4 linked regions of the Astyanax mexicanus genome follow. The protein of the gene in region 1 purifies or fractionates together with the protein of each later gene. This does not show direct contact. Links are inferred from orthologs where the notes say so. Each region holds a gene or a part of one and is shown in the gene's direction. Other genes may lie near its edges. The genes, in order: hdac3, atxn3, ccnd1 and runx1.

Region 1 (7,415 bases):
GACGATTCAAAGTGCTTTACATGAGAAATAAAAACATTAAGACAATTAAAATAAAAGAAAACTCTCTACCTCAGTAACTGCTGTGATTATATATGTTCTATATGTTACAGTATGTCACACATCTCTGCACCTTATCCTCACTATACACTCTATTATACCGTATCGGTACTGCACTGTCCTGTCTTTAAATTGTCTCGTCTTTTGTATTTATTGTATTTATTGTTATTTAGTGTTATAATTTTATAATTTTATGTTGCACTGTCGTCACTCCTGCACTTTATGTTGTCTATTGCTTGTTGTTCCATGTTGCACCTTGGTATTAATAAGGTGCATTAAAAAGAAAAATAAACATCTTAAAACAACAATAATAAAAATACAAGTAAAGTATGATAATACTGTAAGATAAGGGGAAAATATACATGCAGTGAAGTAAAGTGCTTTAGTTAAAAGCACAAGAAAACGTTTTTAGAGCATTTGTGGCATTTCTAATATTTTCTGGTGGTTTGTTTCAGTTATATACAGCATAATAACTAAAAGCTGCTTCTCCATGTTTAGACTGGACTCTGGGTTTAACGAACTGACCCGAGTTCATGAATCTAACAGATCTATTGGGTCTATTTTCTCAAAACAGATCTGCAGTGTATTCCGGACAACAACTGTTCAGTGATTTATAGACTCTAGATCAGCAGCACTTTAAAGCACTTTTATAACTAACTGGAAGCCAGACAAGCAAAATCCAACAATGCATGAGAATATTGCATATATTGTATATTATGGTTTCTGTTGGGTTTTATTACCTTGTACACCCAACCTGCCAATTTATTAGGAATTAGATTGTTTGCTGTTGTTTCAATGAAAGAGTCTTTATTCTGCTTTTTTATATATTTTAGCCCTGATTTGGTGTAACTCTAACAGGAGATACTCAGGAGATCCGTCACACTTATTCTGTTATTAGTGAACTACTGTCTGTTCTCTGTTTTCTCTTTTACACTGATAATTATAAGTGTTTTATTATTATTGCAGCTCGGGTGAATAAAACCGGGACTCCAGTAAAGCCGGTGAAGATGCTCCCCATCATCAACCAGTTCTCCAGCCTGGGTTCAGAGAGCAGCCCCCGCCACACCGCGCCGCTGTACGAGAGCGAGGAGCTATAGACTCACCCAGAATCCTCCCTTCTGCTTATAGACCTCAGTGGAGACGTGTCTATAGACCTCTACGCCTATAATATATTTAATATAGAAAATATCCCTCATAATCTTCAAACACATATAAACATATACAGCTCTGTAAAAAGTGAAGAGATCACTTCAGTTTCTGAATCAGTTTCTCTGATTTTACTATTTATAGGTTTATGTTTGAGTAAAATGAACATTGTTGTTTTATTCTATAAACTACAGACAACATTTCTCCCAAATTCCAAATAAAAATATTCTCATTTAGAGCATTTATTTACAGAAAATGAGAAATGACTGAAATAACAAAAAAGATGCAGAACTTTCAGACCTCAAATAATGCAAAGAAAACAAGTTCATATTCATAAAGTTTTAAGAGTTCAGAAATAATCAATATTTGGTGGAATAATCCTGGTTTTTAATCACAGTTTTAATTTCATGCATCTTGGCATCATGTTCTCCTCCACCAGTCTTACACACTGCTTTTGGATAACTTTATGCTGCTTTACTCCTGGTGTAAAAATTCAAGCAGTTCAGTTTGGTGGTTTGATGGTTTGTGATCATCCATCTTCCTCTTGATTATATTCCAGAGGTTTTTAATTTGGTAAAATCAAAGAAACTCATCATTTTTAAGTGTCTCTTATTTTTTTCCAGATCTGACTTATATCATCTCCTTTAACTTCCACCAGTTAATAATAAAATAAAGATATTTTTAAACACACCGTCTGTAGGCTGGTATATGATCAGACTGGCAGATTGATGCATAAATATTAATGTAAGGAATAAGTACAGATAGCAGTATATTTATACTATTTCTTTATTTATTCTTTATTATTTATTATCTGTAAGTCTGTAAAACAGCTGAAGTAACTGCTGCTCTGTTTAAAATGAAATTATATAAAAATTATAGTAATTATAATGATATATATAGAGAATAATGAGCAACATGTAACATTAAATGATATACAACATAAATAACATGCATCAGTGCCAAATTAAATAAAAATGATTATCATAATCACTCATAGTGCCCTTTTATTTATATATATAAAAAATATCATCGGTTTGTCTGAAGCCTCTCATCCCCTGCATTAATCAGATGCACTTTAGCCTGGATTTCAATTGAACTCTTTCTGCCTTTAACCCCCCCCCCCAAACACACGCACACACACACACACACACACACACTTATACACTCAGACAAACATGTGTACCCACAGCCCTCTGATCAATACTGATCAATAACCCGCTGCTCTACTGAGACTCTTCTCCCGCTGCAGTGATATTTGAGCTACTTTTAGCTGAAATTATAGTTTTGTGTAATTTCTGATCGTTTCTCGGCTCTCTCTGGCTCTGGAAAGTGTTTTCATGTGTGTTAGAGTTTAGAATGACTGTGTAAAGTTTGAATTTTATGTAAAGATTAATGAATTAAGAAAAATCAAGTGCTTATTTATGTTGCTTTTATGTGCGACTGGTTTAAATGTAGAAATATTAATAATAATTATATGTTTAAACATAAAAAAAATCAGTGGTTTTGAGCTGAAGTGAACAGCGGGTGATTATACTCTGCCGTCTTTACTATACTACTATACTACTGTACTACTGAACAGGCTCTGGAGATGTGTCCGTACTGTCTGTTTAAACTGATATATACAGGTGTTGGAGAATGAAAGTGAAACACCTGGTTTTAGAGCACAATAATTGATTGTGGTGACGGACAGTTCTGGTGGAAACAGGAGAGTTGAGGTGCACATTGAATTCTGCGTGATTTGATCAGCCGTGGTTTTATGTTTTTTGGATACAATCCGGGTTAGCACCCGAACATCCCTTTCAGACAGCTTCCTCTTACAGCGTCCACAGTTAATCCTGTTGGATGTGGTTGGTTCTTCTTGGTGGTATGCTGACATTACCCTGGATACCGTGGCTCTTGATGCATCACAAAGACTTGCTGTCTTGGTCACAGATGCTCCAGCAAGACATGCAGCAACAATTTGTCCTCTTTTGAACTCTGGTATGTCTCCCATAATGTTGTGTGCATTGTAATATTTAGAGCAGAACTGTGCTCTTACCCTGCTAATTGAACCTTCACACTCTGCTCCTACTGGTGCAATGTGCAATTAATGAAGACTGAACACCAGGCTGCTCCAATTTACACATGAAACCTAAAATCCCACTAAAATGATGACAGGTGTTTCAGTTTCATTGTCCAACCCCTGTATGTGCTGTATGGTGTTTTGCTGATATGTGCTGTATGGTGGTACTTTTGTACAGCAATAGTGATGGCTAAAAATACATATTAAGAAAATTTCACGTTTTTTCACGTGCAAATTTAAATTGATATGCATTTATAAATCTAAACCTAATATTCAGATTTGTCAATTCTCATATTTATAAACTGTTAGGTTAAATTATTGCTGGCAATGTTCGTGAACTGACAGTTTAATTTAAAGCATTTTCTGTAAAATCAATAAATAGATCAATAAAGTTCAGATTGATATTTTAACCTTCCTGTCGTGTTTGTTTTTTATATTCCCAAATGAAAATGAACTCGATTATAAAAATTATGCAAATTCAAAAAATCATACATAATGTATTCTGATTGTATCAAGCTAAAATCAAAAGTAGAAAATTGGGTATAAAACTTAATTATTATTTTTTTCCATTTTTAGAATTTTAAGTAAAACGAAAAGCTGAATCTTCTCTTTATTTTCAGATTTGTCAGTTTTTGTATCTAGTAACACAAATCTGATGGTATAATCTATAAACTTGCAAAATGCAAACATTAAAAAATCAGAAAATAAAGAAAATATTTTTTTCTTTTCATTTCCATCAATTGTAAAATGTATGAAAACGTATTTCTTGTACACTAAACTACATAAAAAAAATGAAATAATGAGTTTTTACATCAAATTTCTATTTTTGCATTTAGCCTTAAATGGTTAGAAAATGTAAATAATAATCGTTAAATGGACCATTAATGAAGTAACTTCAGTTCATTTATGATTTATTCTGTTAATTTATAGCAATGTTTTGTTGCTTATTTGTGTAAATGAGTCTTATATCATAGTACATTTCTGTCTTATAGCTTAACAATTTCTTACAGTTTTCAAAAACAATAAAATAAATATATAAGTGCACTTCTAATACTGGTGAACAGTGTTTACACCCTATGAAGTGCGGAAGTTTGTGTGGTTGGAACGTGCCCTACTTCGATGTCTCTGTCCCCGGTTGATGACGTATCTGTGCGCGTGTATATGATGGCGACTGTGCGGCGGATGTGTTTGTAGCGGTTTGGCGGAGAGTTTTATCGAATAATCGCATTTTAACGCTTTTAATCGATTGCTTAAATCTGGTGGTAAAATGACGAATCGAACGGCGTATTTCTATGACCCGGATGTGGGTAATTTTCACTACGGTAAGCGGAAAATGAGGAGCTAAAGCGGCTAAAGCTAACAGATTACCTCAGAACCGCGCTAGCATCTCAGTTAAGCTAACGGCTAACTGCAGTAAATAAACTCCCCATACATTATTATTATTATTATTATTTTTTTTATTATTATTATTTTTTTTTAGTGAGGGTTTATCTGTAGATTAGGGGACTAGATTAGCAGCAATGTATTACCCCTGTGCAACTAATAAGCAATATGCAATTATTTATAAATACACTCTTAAGAGTTCTGACTTTTTATTATTTGTATTGAGTATATATTGCAAGGTGTATTTTGTATATATTTTTGTACTGAGCGCATTGCTATCCCTTTGCAGCTGTAATACTGTGAATTTTCCCACTGAGGGACGGTAACTAATGCTGACGCTTTTCAGTGTAAGCTAGAACTGTTTTATTGATTTTGTGAGTAAATAACAAAACACTGAGATAATAGAAAGCTCTAAATATTCATTAATTAGCTAATTTTACCCTTTATTGGTTTCACCATATTCCGCTTTTTACCCATATTTCATCAAATCAGACCTAATTTATTTATATAGTTTTTACAACTGATGTTGTATGAATCAATAGAAATTCTCCTGAATAACCTGAAATAAACTCATTTTACAACTTTTACAGTGACTTCCAATTAAAGAAAGTTTTTTTTTTTCTTCCTCCTGTAGAAGTCCAAAGTTGCTGTTTTTCGAGATACTTGTTTTCACTTTACATTAAAATTTGCTTGGGAGTGAGATAAGATAAAATAAGATAATCCTTTATTAATCCCACAATGGGGAAATTTACCATGTTACAGCAGTGCAGAGTAAAGGACAGAGAAACAGGTCAGGAAAAGGTAAATACAAATAATGATAAATCTATATATACAGAAAACCTATTGTAGGAAAATATATAAAGATAGTTTAAAAAATTATATATAGTAAAAGAAAATATATATATACATCTAGTGCATAGAGATATGATTATGGTAGGGTGGACCAGTATTATTGCACAAGAGTAACAGTGAATAAATATCAAATAAATAATAGATAAAAACAAAAGTGAGAAAAAAAAATATTGCACATTAAATAAATTGCACAAATGATGATCACAGTACCCGTAGTGAGATGGATATTGCACACCGTAAGCATTACAGCTACACTGAGTAGTATGTAGGTTTCTATGAAGTCCTGAGATAGTAAACTAGTGTTTACTGGGAGCGCGGTGTGTTGTAAAGTCTGATGGCGTGTGGAACGAAGGACCTGCGGTATCTCTCCTTCACACAGCGTGGGTGCAGCAGCCGGGTACTGAAGGAGCTGCTCAGTGCTGTCAGAGAGTGGTGCATGGGATGGGACAGGTTCTTCAGCATGTTGTTAAGCTTAGTCCTCATCCTCCTGTTTCCCACCACCTCCACTGGGTCCAGAGGACACCCCAGGACAGAGCTGGACTTCCTGATGATTCTGTCCAGTCTCTTCCTGTCGGTGGTGGAGATGCTGCTGCCCCAGCAGACCACTCCATAAAAGATGGCTGATGCCACCACGGCATCAAAGAAGGTCCTCAGTAGTGTCCCCCGCACGCCAAAGGACTGGAGTCTCCTCAGGAGATGCAGTCTGCTCTGACCTTTCCTGTAGAGAGCAGCCGTGTTGTCAGTCCAGTCCAGCTTGTTGTTAAGGTGGACACCTAGGTACTATCCGAGTCCTGGATGTTCACAGGCACCGGAGGAGAGTGTTTGGTCCTGCAGAAGTCCACCACCAGCTCTTTGGTTTTTCCTGCGTAATAATTAAGTAATGGGGATCACTTACGGCCATGACTTATGACTTTACGCTTGTTTCCACCCTAATGTAAAATAGATAAAGGTTAAACAATAAAGCTGTAAATTAGAATATTGTTCTAATTTGATTTTTGACTGTTCGCTTTAAATCAAGGAAAAAGACAGATTGTGTGAATATGCATAATTCACTTTATTTTGATTAAAATCTCATGACTTTGTGGAGAATAGAGCTGCAACTAATGATTATTTTGGTAGTCGACTAAACTGACGGGGTTTTTTTTCCGATCAGTCGATTAGTCAATGCCATTAGTAATTCTGCCATCTCTAAAAACGATAGAAACAGCAGAACATGAGGTTTAAATGGCATTTAAATGTCTGAACGTTGTTTAAAATGGAAATTACTGATGTTTACTGATATAATATGTAATGAACACTTTTGGAGACACAAATTAGCTAAGTCTCCCATTGCGCTTCTGTCCCCAGCACTTTGTGTAATGTGTTACTGTTACAAATTAACGATTAATCGACAATGTCGATTAAAATAATCTGCATTGTCAATTATATCGACTAATTGTTGCACCCCTGGTGAGGAACAGTTAAAACTGATTAAATGTAAATGTTTTTATTAATACAGAGCATATTCAAACTCCCACACTCTCACAAATGTGCATTCTAATTGCTATATGAATAACGTTTCTGATTGGCTGTTTCTGCAGGTGCTGGTCATCCAATGAAACCCCACAGACTGTCCCTCACCCACAGTCTGGTCCTGCATTATGGCTTATATAAAAAAATGATGGTAATTCACATTTATTCTGAATTAATTACTCTTTCTAAAGATGTAATGCATTTTTATTAGTTTATTTATTTTTACACAAGCACAGCGCTTCTCTAACTTATATCTTTCCCCACCAGGTTTTTAAACCATACAAAGCCTCTCAGCACGATATGTGTCGATTCCACTCAGAGGACTACATCGATTTCCTGCAGAAAGTCAGCCCAAACAACATGCAGGGCTTCACCAAGAGCCTCAACACATTCAACGTTGGAG
Region 2 (7,255 bases), on another chromosome or scaffold:
AGCTCAGAGGAAAGCACCGGATCCCCACTCTGAAACATCACAGACCCCTTGTGTATTAAAATGTGAGTGATGCGGAGGGGTGAGTACAATCTACCCAGGGGCAGCATCACCTGGGATTAAACTCACAATCCTTAGGCCACAGTGTCAAAGTCTTAGACTGCCTAAACCCCCAAATACAGTATTAAAATATTTTTAGAGCACTTTTATAAATCTTTAATGCTGGGTCTAATTAGAAAAAAAGAATGTGGGAAATACAACCCCACACCCCCACCAAAAGTTCACACTGTTCAGGTACAGAACATTTGAAAAGAGACTAAAAAGGGTAAATAAAATAATAATTAAGGCTAAAAGTGTGTTAAACATGGATTGGGTGTATCTGACACAGGAGCATTATTGTTGTATCTTACAGTTAAACATAACAGGAGGGTTAGTGATCTAAATAGTTTGCAAAACACCTTCTACAATGCTGTACACAGGCTTCCTAAAATGGGTGTTTTTTATCCTCCACAAATTCGCAATGTAGATTAAATCTGCTGATAGTGCTGTCCTTACATTACCTGAATATCCTCACACCTCAACACACTCACTTCATCACTCTATCACCTGTGTGGCAACCTGTATTGTTTTGTTGGAGTATTATAATGATAAATATATATTTGGTGGTTCTCAAAAAAGAATAAAATTAATTCTCTCTCAAAAAAAAGTACAATATTCTTTAAACAGACTAACTAAAAAGCTAAAGAATGTTCTGTGGGATATGTGTGTGGGGCCTCCTGCATTAAATTGAGATTATTTCCTGCCAGAGTGATGCTGCTCTGCTCACATGTACAATCCTAGCCAGATGCTGTTGGTCATGATCATTATTACCCACAATGCTGATTTCTGTGACATATTCACTACTTAAACAGGTATTGGCATTCCCAAGCTATTGCTAATTGGAATGTCAGTGTAAAGAACTACTGATTTTACTAAATAAGCTTCGAAAAACACTTTAAGAGTGTAGAAAACAGATTTAATAAAGTGCTAAATGCTATGTATGTACCAATTTGTATTGGAAAACCACTAAAATATGAAGGACGAGGCTTGAGAATAACTGCCTTAAAGTCTAAATGCTTTCTCTACAGATATGTTCCTCAAAGCATTACTTAAAGTCTACGTAAACACGTGAGCTTGGCAAATCAAGCTCTAAAGAGTAAAAATAGCATTAAACTCATTACCCTCCTCTACAAACACAATCTTATACATGATGGATGTGCTGCTCCAACAAAACATTCTTAAAGATCAGATTAAAGTCTTACTCTAAGCTGTCTTTAAACAGTTTGCAGAACTAAAACATTGTAACAACTTACACTGAAGTCACCACAGTATGTGATAAAGCACAACAAGTGGCACAAAGACACTACAGAAAGTTCTGTATATACTCTTTCAATTACATTGATCAAATTGGTTCTTTACCTGCTTTGCTTATAGGTCTCCAGCTTGTGACCCCTCTGGTAAGGTGACATCCCGGCCACACCCATAAGGTAGGTACAGAGGAGCAGGACTACAGCATCTGCCTGCATGGTGCACATACCCTTACACAGCACCTCCGGTCAGATTCCGCACACCTCACGGGCAGGAGCAGCTCCTGAACACACAGCCGAGGAGGACATTCTTTTTTAGCACTGGAGCTCAAGAAGAACACACAGCTCTGCCTTCACTGTAAACATCCCTCAGTGCTTAATCTCCCCACTGGGAAAAGCAATTTTGACTAAACCCATAAATCCTTGAGCGTCAGATGGCACAGATTTGATCCCTCCAGTGGTGAATGTGCCGTGCTCTGCTCTGCACCGCCCCGAACCAATTCTCCTAATGATCCACTGCTCTGCATTTCAATGTGAGGTCAGTCACGAGGATGGAGGATGCTGCACAGACAGACAGCAGCACTAACTGCGAGACGCTGGCCCCCCTTTCAGTGCGCTCAGATTATCCAATCTGGCTGCATTTGGGAAGAATTTCTCTAAAAATACTGGGCTTTACAATCGCGCTTGGATGGACCTAAGTCCTCTGTGACATTTGCATTCTGCACATGACTGTACATTACAGCAGTCTGTAATACAAGCGTTTACAAATCTAACACAAATCTAGCACTTGCAAAACAGTGGCTTAGTAACTTATAGTGCACACACCTACAGAGATAAAAAACAGTAAAAACCAGCTGTGGCCATCATCGTAGATTTGGGTTAGTTCTATGAAGAGTCACTTTAAAAATTGGAGTTAAAAACGTGTGAGCGTGTGTGTTTGATGCTGGGATTTGTGATCTTAGTGACCTAATTCTAGTAAGTGGGAATGCAGTAATGAAATTCTGAATAGAAAATGAGAAGCAGTGGTTCTTATGGTTATACATTATTGATAAAATTTAGTTTATACTGTCTTTTCAGGCAGTAAAGTTCACAAAGCATAAGCCTAAACCAGTGTGCAAAATGGCACAATTTTGGTCACATTCCAGCTGAAAAACAACATGGCCAGCTCACGAGTGTAAAGCTGGTTTACCACCCTATATTTTGACTAAGGTAGAGGGTATGTTTAAGTTTAATAGTTTATTTGGTCAACAAGTATGATCAACCAAAGCAAGCTAGATACCCAGTATGACCAAGCTTACCCATGCTGGCATTGTTAAGAATGTTTTTGTCTGGATGTCCAGCTTTCATCCACTTAAACTCATAATTACAAAAACATTTATAGCAAGTAGATTTAGCCTAAAATGCCACAAGCTACATCAGCAACTAACTTTTTCTAATTAAAGCTCCTACATTTTCTATACTGTAATTTATACTAGGAAAGATTCTAATTTTTTCTGATATCCTCAATAACACTTGCATTTACTAGTATATTGTAGGCCCATAACCCATGTCACATAACATTGAGGTTTCCTGTACCTGTTAAGCCTAATGTCCTTAAGATACTAAACTTTGCATTTTAGACTATTTGCTTTAAATAGGCTGTAGGTAATGACACACTGATGACAGGAGAGGGGAGTCACACAGACACAAAATTTTTATATTTTCCTTATATAGAAAATAGCAGTTTAAATATTGGATATTAACACAGTAACCACAAAAGAACATAACACTGTGGTTCATTCCCTTTCATTCTATAGAAATTAAGCCAAACAAGTCAAATTTACACCCAGGCTGGAGTCCAGACTGTAAAATGGGCTGTTGCATTGTTATTGGAATAGCCAAAGCTACATATCGCATGACCTGCGGTTGCTTCACTTTTGAGAGATGCTGTGCTGTCCATACTTTTCTACAGTAATTGCTAAAATCCTGAAGTAAGCCAAGCTGTAGTTTATGTTCAGTCTGTGTTTATGCTATAGGTTTAAAGTTATCTGCCAGTTTTATTATTCTTTATGTGCAGTGTGAATACAGCAGCTGTTTCTGTAGACTGAATTACAACCATGAATTTCTTGTGTATAGCACCATCTGCTGGACGTATCTATCAAGCATTCCAGCCTTGTTGTATACTAGTTGTGTTCTGGAGACAGAATAATCAAATTCAACATCAAAGAAACAAAATAACACCTAAAAAATCATATAAACATTTGTAGGCATTAAGTAAACTGCTGAGCACATAGTTGCAGCACTCTTTGCCCTGAGAACACCTACAGTCCAGGCAGTGCTGTGCTAAATTAGGCCTCAAAATATCCAAAGGCAGATCTGTAAGATGTGCAAGGTGCTCTTGAACTAGAAATAGAAAGTATGAAAAGAAGCCTAGAAAAAAATTTTTGTGGGTACGGCCATATGGACCAAGAACATCAAAAGCCTTATATTACATTTTTTAACATCTCTCTCCCTTAGTTGTAGACTACGAGTCCAATATTTTTAAAGCATTAACTAAAGTAGCAATGACAATAACAAAAAATGGTGGATGTTTCTAGTTATGGTGACTGCACGATTTATGATGGAGTATGCATATTACAATCTTTTAGGTAAATTTTCCAGAATTTGTGTGTATTTGTGCAATAAATGATGATGTTGAAGTAAGCGATTTGCAGTTGACTTTGTATTTGTTTGTTTTTCTGTGTTTATCTTTTGTTTCCCCATATGTTTTGAATATTATATGTATTATATATTGTCTTTTGGTATATTTGTGTTTTTATTATATAAAATATTTTTTTATATTTTATTTTTATTTATTTTTTATTCATCTCTCTCTCTCTCTCTCTCTCTCTCTCTCTCTCTCTCTCTCTCTCTCTCTCTCTCTCTCTCTCTCTCTCTGCTGATGTCACGCGCGGGGTCAAAGTTGGCCAGTAGCTATGATGCTTCATAGACAATTCAAACATGGAGTCTATCTTCCACGAAAAAGTGAGCTCTGCTTTTCTTTCCTCAGTTTTTATAAGCTCGTTACCGGCCAGTTTGGGCGCGCTCGGTCCTGTGGTTATTAAGACTGATAGAGCTGAGTTTAGGGAAAGTGTCTGAGTTTATTTTGGCTCCTCTTAGCTCTTTGCTAGGCTGTTAGCTCGCTATCATGCTAAGCTAGCTCGTTAGCTAACTGATAACCAGTCAGCGGATAGGCGGTGTTTTGACCGGTTACAGGGCAGTAGCTAGCGTGTGAGTTAGGGGGTGCTTGTTGGGTTTATTTTTAATTGTGTTCTGATGTTTTCGAGGTTGTATGGGTATAGTATCGCTGTTGGTGTAGCTGAGAATTCAATGTTTGGGAAAAGAAGTTCCGGAAAGCAAAAATCCGGCCCGGGATTTGGGTGTAACCGCCCGGGCGGCTGTGCTGCAGCTGTGCCTTACTGGCGGTTTGAACAAATTCCTGCGGTGGATTTTTAATTCCTGGACCTGGGCTACCCACTGCTACAGATAGTTGTCTAACCAAAATAATTATAACCTAAGTGCGCATAGCTAACTAACTAACTAACTAACTAAATGTATATGATTAACAGCAGTTACTGTCTAAATTATTGACAGTTGGTAAATATTTAGTTCTTACTTTACCTAGCTAAGTTACTGTGATTGCTTATTTTCTGTTTTGTTGGACTAACTAGATTAATTAGCTTTAACTTATTTGGGACTTTAATTTTAAATTCAGGAAATTATGTCAAAAATTTCATATATTATGATATAATATATTTACCATATCATCTAGCTTCATCAGCATGTGACTATGCTGTTCATATAATTCATATCGTTATATTTTATAACAGAAATTAAGAAATGTATCGTAATATACTTTTTGGCCATATTTTCCAGCGCTACTAGAATGGTTGTTTGGAATGTCGTCCACATGTCTATTAGCGGTGGTGGTGTCTGTAAAATAAAGTATGTGTCCTGTTGGCCTGTCACTATAACTATGTTATTGACTTGTCGTACACTATATGGAAATTACATCAATAATTTTTCCAGACCATGTCCAAAGAATTTTCTTAGCAAGAAAAGCAAAATAATGTGAATGAGTTTGTATGTGGACTATGAGACTGTCTAAACATTTTTAAAAAGTAAAAGTCCATTGCTCTTTAAAATGGGATTAGTGCATTAATATGCTACTATATTATCAGTTGCATACAATATAATTTTTTGCTATTATGTTTGGGGTAATATGTCGCCCACAAAAAATATTATGAAATATTGTGAAATCACTAGTGTCCAGCAGTTTATTAGCACCTGCCATATATTTTTCTGAAATCAATGGATTTTTATTTGTATTATTTTTTTTTGTGCCAAAATTATAAAACATTGCTCTAAGGATTTGCTAGGAGATTAATTTTAGCCATAACATTTAATTTAGCCATAAAAATGTATTTTCAATGTTTTTTTTTACTAAGAGTTTACACTACTGTCATCTATTGTTTAATCTAAAAGTCATTGCCTTAAAATATGTGTCTGATATTTTATTATGTGGAAGAAATGTGTAGTTTCTGTCTATTTTCAGAATGTAAAATATGCTAATTCATTGCCTTACAGCAAGAGGGCTCTTTATGTGCCCAGCACTGCCTGAACAACCTACTTCAGGGTGAATACTTCACTCCAGTGGACTTGTCGTCGATTGCACAGCAGCTGGATGAAGAGGAACGGATGAGGATGGCTGAGGGGGGTGTGCTGAGTGAGGAGTACAGGACATTTTTACAGGTGAGTAAAAGTATGATGTTGAGGTCACAGTTAATGTTAATAAGCTATTCAGCAGCTTAACAATGTTTTGGTTGTTTTTCTGTATCCCAGCAACCATCTGGAAACATGGATGACAGCGGGTTCTTTTCCATTCAGGTGAGAATTTTTTGTTATTTAAAATGGTTTGTTATTAATAATAATAACAACTCCCAATGTTTTATTAATGTGCTATTCCATGCCACACTGCTAGATGTCACCAGTGCATTGGAAGTGTTGACATAAGACTATTATTTATAAGCTTAAAAAAAACACATTGATTAATTCAAATGTACAAAAGTCATTTAGCATCAAGTAAAGTTTGTTCAGTTGCTTGTTAAGCTATTTACCTGAAATGTTCTGCATGCTCCAGACTGTCAAGCAAATATCCACAAATATGCATTTAATTCCTGATCTTATAGTGGGTTCAAAATCTGTGTTCTGACGTGACATGGAATAGCATATATTTTAAGGATGTTTATAGAAAATATACTTGTATAAAAAAAATAAAAAAACATTTTTTTCTTTTGTAATTGTAGTTAAACTGCATTTATGTTGCCATTGCAGGTGATAAGTAATGCTTTAGGAGTGTGGGGTTTGGAGCTGATCCTGTTCAACAGCCGGGAGTACCAGCGACTAATGATAGAGCCGGTGTAAGTTTCCTTATGTTTTATGTGTAACTGTTCTCGAATTAGTATTTCTGTTGTAGTTATTTTTAAATGTTTAACTCAAATTTTGTCTTTAATTTTAGAAATGAAAAAGCCTTTATATGTAACTACAAGGAACACTGGTTTACAGTACGAAAGCTGGGCCAGCAGGTAATACCATTAAACAATACCTTAAAGTGTCTGATTATTATTCTACTAAAGAGAAGTAAAATCTTATACATAGCTTGTCCTTCTTTGTAGTGGTTTAATTTGAACTCGCTTTTAACGGGACCAGAACTAATATCAGATACATACCTGGCACTTTTCCTTGCACAGCTACAACAAGAAGGTAAAGTCGTTTTGAGTACCTTTGGAACTGTTCAAGTACATTTAAAGTTAAGAGTTTCCCCTGTATTTAAAGAGAACCTTTACTATGTGTGTGTTCATGTTTTGTCTTTAGGGTATTCCATCTTTGTGATT
Region 3 (7,370 bases), on another chromosome or scaffold:
TCCCTGTGATTAAATGTTTATGCCTGCCTATTTTTCCTCTCCAGCAGTACGGACTGGTCACTTGCTGCCTAAAACATAGATCCCAAACCTAGACAGCTGCCATTGTAACCAGACAGTCTATATTATTTATGTTCCCTCTCTGTGGTATTATTGTTATGGCTAATTGACGTATATGCATAAATAACATGCAAATGGTATTTATGCAGGCCTTCTGAGTTAATGACAGGTATTATTTGTTTGAAAATAATATTAAAATACATGCAAAGAAACAGTACAATAGTTATGTGTTAGCATTTATAATCCATTATATGAGGTAAACATTATTTAAGGGTTTCGGTTCCAAAATAATTTAAAAGCCATTTAATCATTTTTAAAGTTGTTGAGAGTTAGCTTAATGCATACATTTTAGCGGTAAACTCTTACACACACTGAATAATAAATTACTTAGTATATATATATATATATATATATATATATATATACTTTTGCACTAAACATACTTGACCATTCATCCTTACATTGCATACTAAATCAAATTCTATATTGTACATACCTAAAATTAAATATATTTTTTACCTTTCAGTATTTGTTTCCTTTATTATTCTTTCATTAATATTATATTTTATGTTATTATTTGTTATTAAATGAGATCTTGTTTTTTAAAAGTTATATAGTTCATCCTATTATCCTAGCTTTTCACTCTTTATATCATATAAACTTTAATTCAATTAGTTAGAATTTTTAACCATTATTAGAACAATAATTGTGTTTTTATTTTGTTAAATTATGTTTTAAAACAGTGTATGTGTAACAGATATTAAAAAACACAATCCTGTGTTCTTCACTGCAGTCTTTAAAATGTATTATATTAATAAAATAAGTGTTTATTGTATGTGCGGCATGTGTTTTACTGTAAAGGAGACTTTTTACTCCAATATAATGTATTGCACTCTGTTATCTAAAAAATCTAGTCAAGTCAAGTCAAGTAGTTTTATTGTCAATACTGCATATGTACAGGACATACAGAGAATTGAAATTACGTTACTCTCCTTCCCAATTTTACAGCAAGTACAGATAATAGATATAGTAAAAGAGAATGGGAGAAATTATGGGTACAATACAGCAGGGACACAAATAGACATACATGAGACAGAAACAAGGTGCAGTGGTGTGGGGAGAAATAGATATATAAATATAAGTAAAAAAAGAAATAGATATATACTATAAAAGAGTGGGAGACACTATATGTACAATACAACAAGACACAATAAACATACGTAAGACAATAGTGCAATATTGATGGTGATTGAGATGGAATGACAGTATAAATAGTATATATCAGTAGTGCAAATACGGTATATGGTATATAGCTTAAGGCTGGTAAAGTGAATGAGTGCGTAAAGTTCTTAAAGTTCACAGTTTATGGGGAATTAAAGTGCGAATTGACAGTGCAAGTATATCAGTAGTGCAGGTTTGGGTGTGTAGTGCAAGTCCGTTTGGAAGGGACCAGTACTTTGTGCATTGTAGTGCAGAGTTTCAGTACTGTATTAGTGGGGGGTCAGGATTCTGAGTGAGTGAGTCTATTTATTGTTATCTATTTATTGTTTAGGTAACTTTTTTCAAAGTGTCCAAATAACGTACATTTTGTAGGAAAATTAAATCAATGTCAGATAATCAAAAACAATTGATTATTAAGGTAAGTTTTTGTGTTTTATGTTTAATTAAGTCGTTAAGTTTAATTGAAAAGTTTAATTGAAATCGCTTTTTAAACAGCTGTTTTTTCTCTGAAACTCAGAGAATGTCCTTTCAACTTGCAGAACAGGCCAGCAGCAATACTACACACATTCATTATTTCTGTAAAAAAAAAAAAAAAACTGCCATATTTTAATAACCCTTAGTTTTTAACCCCCTGGTTTTATGACACAACATTATACAGCTGTACTTAAATAAATGGTAAATTCACTAGTTACAATAAAATTGTAACTCAGTCTGAAGTATCATCTGAGTTCACTTTTATTCATGCTTAGCTGGAGCTCCCTGATCAAAAAAAGGAACATATTGAAACAACGTTCATTAAAAATATCTGAGGAAATGAACGAATGTAGCAACACTGCATCCAGTTCTTCTTTTAAATGAAGAAATAAAACACTGCTCTGCATTTATGATGCAAGTCTTTTAAACTCTGAGAACATGTGAGAATGGTCTCTGCTGAAAGGGACATTTGCAAGGCCTTAAAACTTTCTATTCAGTTTACCGTATTAGCAGGAAGAGCAGCACAGGCACAAACTCACATGGTCTTTCATTCAACAAAGACTCTGTGTTGTAGCTCATGCATGTGGGTGCAGGGTGAACATGCAGAACAATGCAGAACTATATATAAACTGTGGAATCGGTTTTAGGATATTTGGATGGGCTTACATTTTAGCAAGTAACAGGTTGAGACCCACTTACATGCATATGATTTATCTTTTTCAGATTATTTATCTATGTCTTGTTTAACCTAGAGGCTTTTTTTTCTTTATATGGTTTATCTAACGTTAAATTAACATTTTATTAGACCTTATACAATGCGTGCATATAATCTATCTCAGACTTTTAATACATATCATATGTACTATTATAATTATAATTATTCAGTAGTAAATTTATAATTATTCAGTAGTAAACATGGAAAAAGCAAAGCAAATATGGGTAGGCTTTCTTGAGTTATATGATTCTTGTATTTGGTTATTTAATTTAGAAGGGTTAATGTTTACTGTGAAAATAAACTATGATTATAAGTACTTTAAAACAGCGCCTTCTACAGATATAATACAGCTTATAATATGTGAATAAAAATGTAACAAAACATTAGCAAAAAAACATACTTTATATATTTTTTTAGTTTCAAACTGTTTAGCACTTCCTTGTTCGTGTCATGCTGGTATGTAACTGCTTTGTAGTTGCTTTGTTACTGTGTGAAAACTTTTGTGCCCTTTTCCACATTTACAGCAGTGTTTTTCTGCATTTTAAACAGCCTCCTTTTTTAACCACGGTTTAAAACTTCGTATATGCAGCGAAACAGCTCCGTGTGCAATCTAAAACAGAGTTTAAAAAAGTTTACATTGTTTATGTAAGAAGCAACAGGCAACTTTTCTTTCCGTTTTTTTTAGCGCGACTGTATTAGATGTTATACGGTATCCAAAAGTGTCCAGTCAGGAATGTGAGGAATTTCAAAGGCTCCAATTCATCCCAGCGACAGCCAGCAGTGAGGTCTTTAAAGTGAGAGCGCCCCTATTTGAGCAAAACTGTTAACATCACACACTCACACACAAGTCTGAGACTTGAGAGACGCATAAAAAATAGATATATATATTTAAAAAAAAAACTTATCATAGATCCCTTAAATAAATCTTTAATATTTTTTCGACTTGTCTACTTTAATTAGAAATAACTTGAAATTATTTGATGTAATGTTTTTAACTTTTTTTCCCCTTTTCTGATAATGCAGAGTGTTAAACTGCGAGTCTCTTTATTGACTTCTGTCTTTACTTTTCTCTTCCTGTCTGTGATCAAACTGCGGTAGTTGTTGTCTTTTTGTCTCTTTTTACTTTTTTCACATTCCCACACACGTTCACCCAATGAGGGGCTGAGATAAAAAGCTCCACAGCTCCAGCCGCAGTTCTGCCTGGCAACTGAAGTTTGCGCTCATTGGTTCACGCTAATTTCGGCTTCCTCCTCTTTTTCTCTTTTCTTGGTGTGGAAGACAAAGAGCTGCTACAGCGTTTAAAACCTCATTTCCCCTAAGTTTCACAAGTTTTATGGCAGCCTGTATCTAAAAGAATGCGCCACAAGAGAAGTAGAAAACGCATTTACAAATACAATTGTAATAGAATGGCAGCATTTGTTTTTATTTTTTAATCACACAGTTTTATTTTAAACTTATTTTTGAGCCTATAATATTACTGTAGAAATTGTGAACATGCATAAACGCACTCTAATAACGCACTAATATACTAATAATAAACCTAAAGCCTGACAGTTTCTAGAAAGTCCAGCTCCATTGCGCTTTAACTGATAATAATTAGGGTCGGTGATTTGTCCTGTTATACCGCCCCCTACCAACATTTCTAGACATTTACACATCTTTACACCACCACCACCAAAAGCACCAAAAGCACCAGCAGCACTCTCTCACTCATACTCATTTGATACCCCCCCCTCCCCCTCCAGCCTAGCTACACCTCCTCCTCCTCAAAAGCCCCCTCGCTCCTCCTCTGTTGCCTACCCCCCACCGTCTACCCCTCAGCCGTTCGCCACCCGGGGTAAAAGTAAAAAAAAAAGGACCTCCCATTTCCACACTGGCGGCAATAGAAACGACCACAAAGTTCTCTCTCCTTCGTACACTCCCTCTCTCTCTCTCCACCTCCCTCTCTCTCTATCTCTCTCAGGCCGCGCGCGGCGCTTTGATCTTCCTTAACAACAGTCACGTCATCCAAAGGATTTTTTTTCTTTGGTCAAGCGGTGGATTTTTCTCTCTCTCTCTCTTTCAGTCTCTCATACAGACAGACGCACACTCTCTCACACACTGAGTATAGCAACCGCAGCAGCAGCAGCAACAACAGCAGCCGCAACAAGAGCATCATCCGCGGGACGCACGCTTTAATCAAGTGCTTCAATTAAATTATCTGCCGCTAAAACTGTGATTACCCCGAAAATCATGGAGCACCAGCTGCTGTGCTGCGAGGTGGACGCCGTGCGGAGAGCCTACCACGACACGAACCTGCTGAACGACCGAGTTTTACAGACCATGCTGAGGGCTGAAGAGACCTACCTCCCCTCTCCAAACTACTTCAAGTGCGTTCAGAAGGAAATCGTGCCTAAAATGAGGAAAATCGTCGCCACATGGATGCTGGAGGTTTGTGTTTTCAGACAGAGGCGTTTTAATCCCATGTCTTTAACATTGCACAACTTTTTTGCGCTTTATTCTCTTCCTCTCCCTTTCTCAAGACGATTCTCCTCACGCTCTTTGGACCTCTATCTCTCCGCACAGGCCTGGTAGAAACCGGAGGAAACGCTTTAAAAAAACATTCTCTATCAGTTTGTCACGGCTTAAAAGCTATAAAAGTGGATTTTAATGCTCGAAAAGTGTCCGAAATACACTTTCTAAGCCACTTTGCTTTTTTTATTTTGAGAAAATAAAAAAAACACCTCAGGAAAGTAAGTTAGCTATAGGAAGTCTCGAGCGATTTTTTTTTTGCGAGGAGGTCTCCTTTCCGCTTTAAAAAATAAAAATAAAAAAGCCTCGCAGAGATGTGACCACTTTCGCTTCGTTTTCTTCCCCACCCAAAGAAAGATCCTCAAAAACATTTAATCGAATTTATTTCGATTTAATATCGATGTACACGTATGCAATCCCACTCGTGCCAGTAGCCTATTATGCGCCATCTTTGCTGCCGCGCCGACACAAGTTCTAATAATATGTTAAAAAAACACCTCAAACGATTATAACATTTGAAGACAATGTGCGAGAATCACTCTTTATCGCACATTTAACTTAGTGTTTGGGGACTGAGGTGAATTTTGAGGTGCAATGTAGTGGTTTAAGCTCTTAAAACTTTACTTTCAGTTCAGACACGAGCCCCTCCGCTTGTCGGCTTCTGAAGCTCCAAGACGTACAAAAATGTTATTTTTTACGTTTCTGAAGCCGAACACAAGCCCGAAACGGTTCGGGTTCGGTTCCTTAGGGTGTGAGGCGGATTTAGACGTGTATAAAGTGGGGTTTAGTGCGCAAGAATAATTTATATTAATTTTTCAAAGCGCGCTCGCGGCGTCGAGCATGTCCTTCAGTCCACATTTTCACTGTCGGTGACATTTAAATTAAATTTACCCCTTTAACCTTCACAAATTCGACGTTTTTCGATCGGAAGCGATAGAATATACGTCAAAGGATATTTAGAGACTATTTAGGTGCGCCGCAACAATTTTGTTATATTTTTAAATATTTTTTGAAAAGATGACGAACTAGAAATTGTGACGACACCTTTGTAGCATTCTGAAGGAAGCAGCCGCTGCTAGCATGTGCACCACTGCTCGCGCTCTCTAGAAAGCCTCTGGTGCTAAAGCCGTGTTATCAGCTAGCTAATGCTTCTCTTTAATCTAATTATTAATACATTTATTTGCACTGCAATAGATGGATTTTTTTTAGGCTTTTCAGTATTAAAGCTATGCCCGGTGCACACAAAGCACGTGGGACTTCCACAAGTCCATTTTTTCCGAGAATAAAATTTTTTTTTTTTAATCAGGCCTAATGTTTAATGTCTTCTTTTACAAATACTTCGTTTAAGACTAAGTGCAATCAATCTCACTGCTTGTCTTTCTTGTATTTATTTTCTTCTTTTCTTACATTAGAAATCATATGTAAGTTGTCGGCTTTATGGCTTTGTTTCTCAACTTTTGTGACTCCTGACTCAAAAACTCTTCTCTCTTTTAAGGTGTGTGAAGAGCAGAAATGTGAAGAGGAGGTTTTTCCCTTGGCTATGAACTACCTGGACAGATTCTTGTCTGTGGAGCCCACTAAGAAGAGCAGGCTGCAGTTGCTTGGAGCTGCCTGCATGTTCCTGGCCTCCAAGATGAAGGAAACCGTTCCTCTCACAGCTGAGAAGCTCTGCATATACACAGACAACTCTATTCGTCCATGCGAGCTCTTGGTAATTAATTACATTAATTATAACAACACAGTAATACACTGAAGTTTATGAGGTTGAGAGGGTTAATCACTCTTGGGAGCTTTTTTTGCTTGCATTAAGGTTTTGCAGGATGCATGCAGTGTTGCAGTGCAGTTCTGCATTTTAGTTTTTAGTCATAGACAAACCCAGAAAGTGAGAGAGAGAGCGTTTCAGAATGGAAACTCCCTGCATGTCAGCATTTAAATGGTTGTGGGTTGAAATGTACTGCTAATTGAATAGCTTAAATCAATTGAATAGCACAGTGCTATTGTAGCTCCTGAGATATGACCCCATCTAGTGGTCGACCGTTAGACTACTGACTGCTTCTGCTCAGTGAGAGCACACATGGTGGAAGCGTGAAGAACTTTTTGAAGTCCTTTATGTAAACCGCCGCTCTGTTCTCGTGTGTCTTTCTCACAGCAAATGGAGCTGCTGGCGCTGAACAAGCTGAAGTGGGATCTAGCCTCAGTGACACCACACGACTTCATTGAACATTTCCTCACCAAGCTGCAGATACACCAGGGCACCAAGCAGATCCTGCGCAAGCATGCCCAGACGTTCGTGGCTCTATGTGCAACAGGTATGTATGCGTGATCCACATTTATACCTCTCTCTCTTGTTTTTTTCTTCTTTTGACCAATATGTTTTTGTGGTTGTGTGCTG
Region 4 (7,629 bases), on another chromosome or scaffold:
ATGCACTGCGGGCTGGATGACCCCCTGACCCTGTCTGACCCTAAAACCCGAATCTCCCCGGAAACTGGAGGTTAAAGGAAGCTGCAGCTGCATGATGTCAGCATTGTTTCTTTAGAAGCTACTCTATATATCTTCACGATGATCTCAAACTTCTGCTTTATCTCATCTCACATACAGTGACATATGCTGCCTCTAAGCCATGTCAGAAATATTGCATAGTTATTATCAGAATACTGTGCCCTCAAACCTATTCTTTTAAAACTTAACATTAATTAATATGTATATTTTTAATGACTAAACTAATTATGAAGTGAGAGTAGAGATTAAGAAATTATTAAAAATTGCAAAATGTTCAATAATATCTCAATTCATACAATTTCAACAGTATTTACAACATTCTAAAGCATTACAATTTATTACACAGCAAAAAAAATTTAATCTTAGTGAAGTGAAGATCTAAGTGAAATGATCCAATTTTAAGGAAATAAATCTGTAATTTAATGTTTAATAATGATGAGTTTCAACCGTTCCACAGTTATCATATTTTTCGGACTATAAGGCACACTTAAAATCCTTTAATTTTCCTAAAAATGGACAGTGTGCCTTAATTTATGTACATTGCACTAACACTAGCTCGGACTGTAGTCTTTGTGTTTACCATGTTAAAACAAGCTCTGTATAAAGCTGATAATACTCTGGGTTACCGAAACACATTTACAGCATTTACGTCCCACTAGCACTGTGGTTAGCAGCTAATGCTAATGCTGCTGCACCCAGCCTTAGTGCTGGAGAACCTTCACTGAAAATTCAGTAATACACTCTTGCACAAAATACTGGAAATGTAAGATTACTGTCAATATACTGAAGCCCTTTACTCACCCAAATAAACAGTTTTCAGCAGAGAAATCTGTCTAGATTAACATCCAGCACTCATATGTTTTTAAAATACAGTTTTGTTTACTTAGCCTTTTTTTTTTCTCTAGCTTCTCCATTAAAAGAGAAACATGGCGAAACCTGTACTCACTTCGATGTAGGCATCCTTACTAGTGTCACTTAATGCAGCCTATAATCTGGTGCGCCTTATGTATGAAAATAAACCAGAAAATAGACACTTATTAAAATTGTGCCTTATAGTCTAAAATATATGGTAACTTGAATAATTAGTTGCGATATTGCTTAAACATTCATTAAAATGTTTATTACTGTTTAAAGCACTTTTATTCATGTAGCGTTATTGTAAAATTCCTTTGCCAGAACAGAATTTTACAATACAGAAATCTAAACAGTTTTATATTTCCACTTGCATGCATGTGATGAAAATGTGGTTGACCTTTAATTCCATGTTTTAATTTTTCATTATTTTAATTACCATGATATTAGACCATATCAGGGTGGACAATCTTTACCTTCGCTAAAAATTGAGACAAAATTTTAAGTGTCATTAATATTTTTAATTGCTGAATATCGTCGCTGTCCTATAAAAAACACTTATCTCCTTTTCTGTCGATTTTTAGATTACTACATAATTTGAACAGACAAACTCTCTCACACTGTGCCAAATTTATTGATGAACAGATCAAAAGAAACTTTTCAAAATGACCTGAAATAAACTAATTCTACATTGACTTCCATTAAAAGTTCACAAGGTTTTTTTCTCTCCTGTAAAGTTGCTGTTTTGGAGATAAGTGTTTTTCATTGGACAGCGACGATATTCAGTAAGTGTCTTCAGTCCTTTAGAAATAAAAGAGTGTGAAGGTTGTGATGTCACCAACATCAAAGATTGCTTTCTTAAAGATGCAGATATCCCAAGATTCCTGGGTGGACAGTAAAGACCATTAAAGTGCATTACAGTTTAAATGAATCAAAAGGAAGATACGGTATATACAGTATCAGGCAAAAGTTTGGACACACTTTGTCATTAAGTTTTTATCTTTATTTCTTTATTTAATGTATTTTCTACATTGTAGATTAATATTGAAAAACATGTAAATAGTTAAGGGACACATATGGAATTATGTAGTAAACAGTAAAAAATTGATTTGAGGTGATTTAATTGGGATGAGCTGGAGCTTCACAGCAAAGTGAAGGAAAAGCAGCAGCTATTGGTCAGCACCTCCAGAAACTCCTACCTTCAAGACGTTGAGAAAACTATTCCAGGTGACTCTCCCTCATGAAGACACTGAGATTAAAATCTCACCAAGAGTGTGCAGATCTGAACTCAAAGATAAATGTAAATTTAAAGTATAAAACATATTCTGGGTTGTTTAACACTTTTTGTTCACAGAATAATTCCATGTTTCTGTATAGCTTTAATATGTTGAATTTACAATGTAAAAATAATATATATGTTATATTTATGATATTTTTACATTGTAAATTCAATATTTGGATATACTGTATAATACTGTATAATAATTCCCCTTAATTTCACAGGGAAAATTACATTGGCTGGTGAAATGACAAACTCTTAAATGAAACAGATATGATATATACTACGATGCTAATGACATTACAGGTGTAACATATATATATTTTCAGTGCTAATTTTTATTCATTACATATTTTTTACTGACAATTTGCACCATTTGTTCACCTATTTAGTTTAGAGTAAAACATAAAAGTGCCATTATCATATAAATCAAATGTACAATTAAGGGCAAAACACACAGATCCACTTTCCCTCTACAAACGTCAGTATTTTGCCCCCGGAGTGTGTCTGCGTCTGAGTCTGAAATCTGAGTCCAGTGTGGGTGGGGTAGCAGCTGGCCATGCACGCCGATGCGAACCGCCACACTCCGCCCCACCATACTTGACCCCAACGCCTAAATTACTGTGTGTAAAAGTGAGCACAGGTGTGGGTGTGTTCGGCATGTGCTGGAGGTGTGGTGCAGGTGGAGGTGTTGCGAGTGTTCGTTACAGGGGGCGGGTAGGGGACAGGAGTGGACGCAGGTGTCGGAGGATGATATAATGGGCTTGGAGGCTTTTTGCAGGAGGCCCTCGTGGACGTGGTGTTCTTTGCACACGATTAGACCTAAACAATGGCTGGTTTTGCCTGATGATGGACAGTGCCCTGATGTGGGCAATACTCTGGCATGCATTACACACCACCTGTGGAACTGGCTTTAAATAATGTGGACTGAAATTATATAGAATAAACATCTTATAGGATTCAGTTTGTGTGCCAGATATGCAGCAAGTGAGGGCAACCTATATGCGTATATGACTAAAAAATAATTTAAATATCAGTATATAGTATTAATGATAGACAATTGGGTGTTTTATATACATATCTAATATTAATGAGAAATTGCATTACTTACATAAATTGTCAATTACTTTTAACAGTACAGAAATTAGTTGTGAGCAGGTTTGGCAGTTTAATAGCGACATCAAAATGACTGTATTTATGTATTGCCAAAATTAAGAAGTATAATGTTGGCGTATTTGGTGTATTTCTTAAAATTTGCATATTGTAACTACTATACCAAACCATGTCAGTTTAGAAACAGACCAATAAAAATCTTCAGAATGAATAGAAATCCACTCTTTTTTTATTACAATACATATAAACTGGATTAATATTGATGCATATTGCGACAAAAAATGGTAATATAATTTTTTTTAAATCTTTTTTATAATATTTTATTACATGATGCATTAATTAGATTAAAAAATATTGTGTGACATTTTGGCTATATGGTATGTATGTATGTATATATTTGATTTCACTAAATAAAAATGGATGATTACAAGCCATCAAACCAAACTGAACTGCTTGAATTTTTGCACCAGGAGTAAAGCAGCATAAAGTTATCCAAAAGCAGTGTGTAAGACTGGTGGAGGAGAACATGATGCCAAGATGCATGAAGAAAACTGATTAAAATCAGGGTTATTCCACCAAATATTGATTTCTGAACTCTTAAAACTTTATGAATATAAACTTATTTTCTTTGCATTATTTGAGATCTAAAAGCTCTGCATCTTTTTTTGTTATTTCAGCCATATATAAATATATATTTTTGCCTTTTGACTGAACACACATGCAATCCTCTTTGAACCGCGCTACTGTAAGTAAACACACTCTTTCTTTTCTCGTGCAAAATATGTAGATAAAGAGATATGAAAAGATGACATGTAAATTCTGACAAGCTGAGGTGGTCAGATGCTGCTACAGACACAGGGCTAATTGTGTGCTCTCCTGGAGAGAGATTTGCATGTTTAGACTCTGTTTGCGCTGTAGATTCTCTTCTTACACAAACAGTCATGTGCAGTTATTTTAGCTTCTCTTCTGAACTCGTCTGAACTGTACTGCTTTTTTCTGCTGTGTGCACCTGCTGTGCCCTGTTTTACACTATTACTATTGCATGAAAAAAGCAAAAAAACGAAAAAACACATCAGTTTCCTCCAAGAGAACGTAGAGGAGTGAGGGCTGCTGATAGAGCCTGTGCTGTGCCCGTATTACAAAGGGAAACCTCTAAACACAAAGTCAGAATGAAATTTGCACCACAGCGGACCATGTGACCGTGGCGGCCCAATGGAGCTTGAGCTGTTAGGGTTAGGTTGCTTTTTTTTATAGAAGGGAAGAGTTAAACTTGTCACTTGGCTTGGGAGCCGCTATTCTGTGGGCCACCACAACCACAAACCAAAACTGCCACCAGTCACGGCTCCCTGAGCCCTGGAGAAAAGTGAGATAAAGATAGAGCGGGGGGACCAGACCGGACCGTACGATTAAAAACGAAAGAGAGAAGAAACTGAGAGAAGAGAGTGCTGAGTCTACGTGTTGATGTCAGATGTCAGTGTGAATCACCCGGATTACTAAAAAAAAAAAAAAAAAAACGAGAGCGAGAGAAGAGAGAGAGAGAGAGAGAGACAGAAACCACAGCGCGACATTTCTACTCCTTCTCTTTAGCACAAGGGTAAGCATCAGTCGACCGCAGTCTGACCGCCGATCACTATCTGCAGTGTCTCTCAACCATGCACAACACGCAAGGACACAACAACTGCCCTGATGCCACGACCGGACCATCACTGGATGACCATGGACTTGAGGGTGTTGAGGGTGTGGGCGTTGGTGTGTAACCCAGGGATTTTGTTCTGTAGACTTTCAGTTTATTTAGGGAGCACTGTGTAGTGGAGGTTGTCCATTGGTTCTAAAGTCTATAGACTTTTTTTTTACTGATCGTTTCTTAGACCATGCACACCTTCTTACACAAACTCACCATGCCTGTACCATTGGTCTTTCCAGGGCAAAGCAGCAGCACAGACTCAAACTTCAAAATTAGGAGCCAAGTCAAGTTGGAGGCGCTGGACTCCAGTGAAGAGGAGGACAGCGTTTTTGAGAAGCAGCCACTCGCCATGGCCTCGAACAGCATCTTCGAGACCTTCTCCTCCTATCAGTCTTGCTTCACCAGAGGTAAGTCATGTTACGTTTAATTTATATTTAGATTATATGTTGATACATTGCTCAGAATTTCAGAGACACACATTTGTGAAACAAGAAGTTGACGGCTTAAGTTCTTATCTTATCTTCTTAGCCTGACTGCAATCTAACAAACTAATAAGCATGATGGAAAGTAGAGGCAAAACATCCAAAACGTCACACTGGTTGGTTTGCTGTGTCAGTGGTGTACTGAAATCTCGTGGCTGAATCTGAAAACCACAGGTCTGTGGGTTACTGAGTGTTCCACTGGTTAACCTCACTCCACCAAGCAATAACACAGCGGGCTTTTACGAATGTACTGCAATGCCCTTTGTTCTCTGCAATGCTCCTGTGTAAAAAAAGAATAACATATTTGCGTTAGATAAAGTTTTCCTGTTTGTATATGTAAATATATATATATATTTTTATATAAGGATGTTATGGACAATGTTAATAATGTTCATTAAAGTGTGTTGCTTTGAGTAACTTTCACAAAAATAAAATATATATACATTTTTTTAGAAGAAAATGTTCGTTGAACATCTTTCTTGACAATTTCACAAAACACCTTTAAGTGGACCCTCCACAGTTTTGACCACTAAATAATAGAAGTTTGCCTGTTTTAAGACTTTTGACTTTAGTTTAGTTTAGTTGCTGGGTGTGAGAGGGAGGTTAAGGCTCATCACTGCAGCACAGCATTCTTTGCCTGTGTGTCAGACACCTGGGATGGACAACAGACTCAGTTTCTGCTCTTCACTCCCATGGAGAGACAGGGAGCTGGTGTTTTATAGATTTTATGATATTGAGATTGAGGTGGGGGGACAGATGAACTCATAAACACACCCAGAAATTAGAACCTGAAGGAGAATTGCACTGAGGAGTAATGGTGCATATTTAGCAAGCGATGATCTTAAATTGACCGCAACATTTTTTTTCCTTTCTATATCTTCTGCATTTACAGTAGCTGACATACCATACAGATAATCACATTTGTTTCCTGTAATTCACTGATGTTATTATATACTGGTATTAGTATAAATATAAGGCTAACATATTATTTTTACTACGCTAATTAGGTGCATAAGAATGATCAATATTCCATGGTATTGCAATATTTTCTTTTGCACTACTGTATCAATTTTAAAAACACAGTATAGATTTTTGTACAATAATTAGTAGTTCATATTGTTAGATTGGTTTTAGACAGTTGTTTAGTTTGTGCTAAACTCTGACTTGGTCATTAGATCATGCAATTGAGATTTGATAAAAAGTTAAATTATTTTTTACACATATATTATAAATGCATGTATCTTTTTATACTATAGCAGTTTTTTTACATACACTGTCCTAATGTTAATACTGCACATATAAGTCAAGTCAAGTCAATTCAAGTAGTTTTATTGTCAATACTGCATATGTACAGGACATACAGAGAATTGAAATTACATTACCCTCCTCCACAATTTTTACAGCAGGTACAGAATATATATATAATAAAAGAAGGAATGGGAGACACCCATGTATGTGTACAATACAGCAGGGACACAAATAGACATACATGAGACAGAAACAAGGTGCAGTAGTGGTGGGGGGTGAAATAAGATATATAAATATAAATAAAAAGAAATAATACATATAATATAAAAGAATATGAGACACTATATGTACAATACAACAAGAACACAATAGACATACGTAAGACGGAGGACAATAGTTTAATATTGATGGAGATTGAGATGGAATGACAGTATAAATAGAACCCGTATAACAGTAGTGCAAATATGGTATATAGCTTAAGGCTGGTAAAGTGAATGAGTGCGTAATTACTCATTTTGTTGGACAATATATCGCCCCAGAAATAATTGCAATACATCATAGTACTTGTCATTTAAAGCCACTAACATATTGGCAATATACTAGAATAATAATATTGCAATAACACATTTTTAAAAGCAATAAATGTTTAGTTATTTATTTCTTTCCCTAATAAAGACTGTTCTGTGTGTATGGATGTGCTGTTTTTGATGCACTGGTCATTGCACAACCTGCTAAAATACCTAAGATTTTAATTTGTATGCAAGCAAACATGCAATTAAACATAATTAATGTCAGCAAGAAGGTGAACAATGAAGGTCATGATGATTTATTGTACATTTTTGTACAGTATTGTAGGTTTCAGGTCAACTGTAAATGTTTTGTATTTTCATGAA

The links.
Region 2: the proteins of hdac3 (region 1) and atxn3 purify together in Homo sapiens (affinity purification with western blotting; 3 studies listed by BioGRID). This does not show direct contact. The link is inferred for Astyanax mexicanus from reciprocal best matches to the Homo sapiens genes HDAC3 and ATXN3.
Region 3: the proteins of hdac3 (region 1) and ccnd1 purify together in Homo sapiens (affinity purification with western blotting; 5 studies listed by BioGRID and IntAct, with this or other methods). This does not show direct contact. The link is inferred for Astyanax mexicanus from reciprocal best matches to the Homo sapiens genes HDAC3 and CCND1.
Region 4: the proteins of hdac3 (region 1) and runx1 purify together in Homo sapiens (affinity purification with western blotting; 3 studies listed by BioGRID). This does not show direct contact. The link is inferred for Astyanax mexicanus from reciprocal best matches to the Homo sapiens genes HDAC3 and RUNX1.

Annotation. Positions count from the first base shown.
Region 1 is NC_064417.1:54,131,514-54,138,928, reverse strand, and holds the start of hdac3 (histone deacetylase 3), read left to right. Parts: upstream 1-4,403; 5' UTR 4,404-4,532; coding exon 4,533-4,587; intron 4,588-7,080; coding exon 7,081-7,163; intron 7,164-7,279; coding exon 7,280-7,415. Other genes in the region: myot (myotilin), read left to right, coding at 1,024-1,154. UniProt on the Homo sapiens protein: Histone deacetylase that catalyzes the deacetylation of lysine residues on the N-terminal part of the core histones (H2A, H2B, H3 and H4), and some other non-histone substrates.
Region 2 is NC_064421.1:14,488,696-14,495,950, reverse strand, and holds the start of atxn3 (ataxin-3), read left to right. Parts: upstream 1-4,241; 5' UTR 4,242-4,322; coding exon 4,323-4,346; intron 4,347-5,948; coding exon 5,949-6,113; intron 6,114-6,203; coding exon 6,204-6,248; intron 6,249-6,695; coding exon 6,696-6,781; intron 6,782-6,879; coding exon 6,880-6,946; intron 6,947-7,036; coding exon 7,037-7,124; intron 7,125-7,235; coding exon 7,236-7,255. Other genes in the region: gamma-aminobutyric acid receptor subunit rho-1, read right to left, coding at 1,456-1,571. UniProt on the Homo sapiens protein: Deubiquitinating enzyme involved in protein homeostasis maintenance, transcription, cytoskeleton regulation, myogenesis and degradation of misfolded chaperone substrates.
Region 3 is NC_064423.1:33,877,832-33,885,201, reverse strand, and holds the start of ccnd1 (G1/S-specific cyclin-D1), read left to right. Parts: upstream 1-4,346; 5' UTR 4,347-4,699; coding exon 4,700-4,897; intron 4,898-6,473; coding exon 6,474-6,689; intron 6,690-7,127; coding exon 7,128-7,287; intron 7,288-7,370. UniProt on the Homo sapiens protein: Regulatory component of the cyclin D1-CDK4 (DC) complex that phosphorylates and inhibits members of the retinoblastoma (RB) protein family including RB1 and regulates the cell-cycle during G(1)/S transition.
Region 4 is NC_064428.1:5,713,019-5,720,647, forward strand, and holds the start of runx1 (runt-related transcription factor 1), read left to right. Parts: upstream 1-4,620; 5' UTR 4,621-4,974; coding exon 4,975-5,071; intron 5,072-5,245; coding exon 5,246-5,413; intron 5,414-7,629.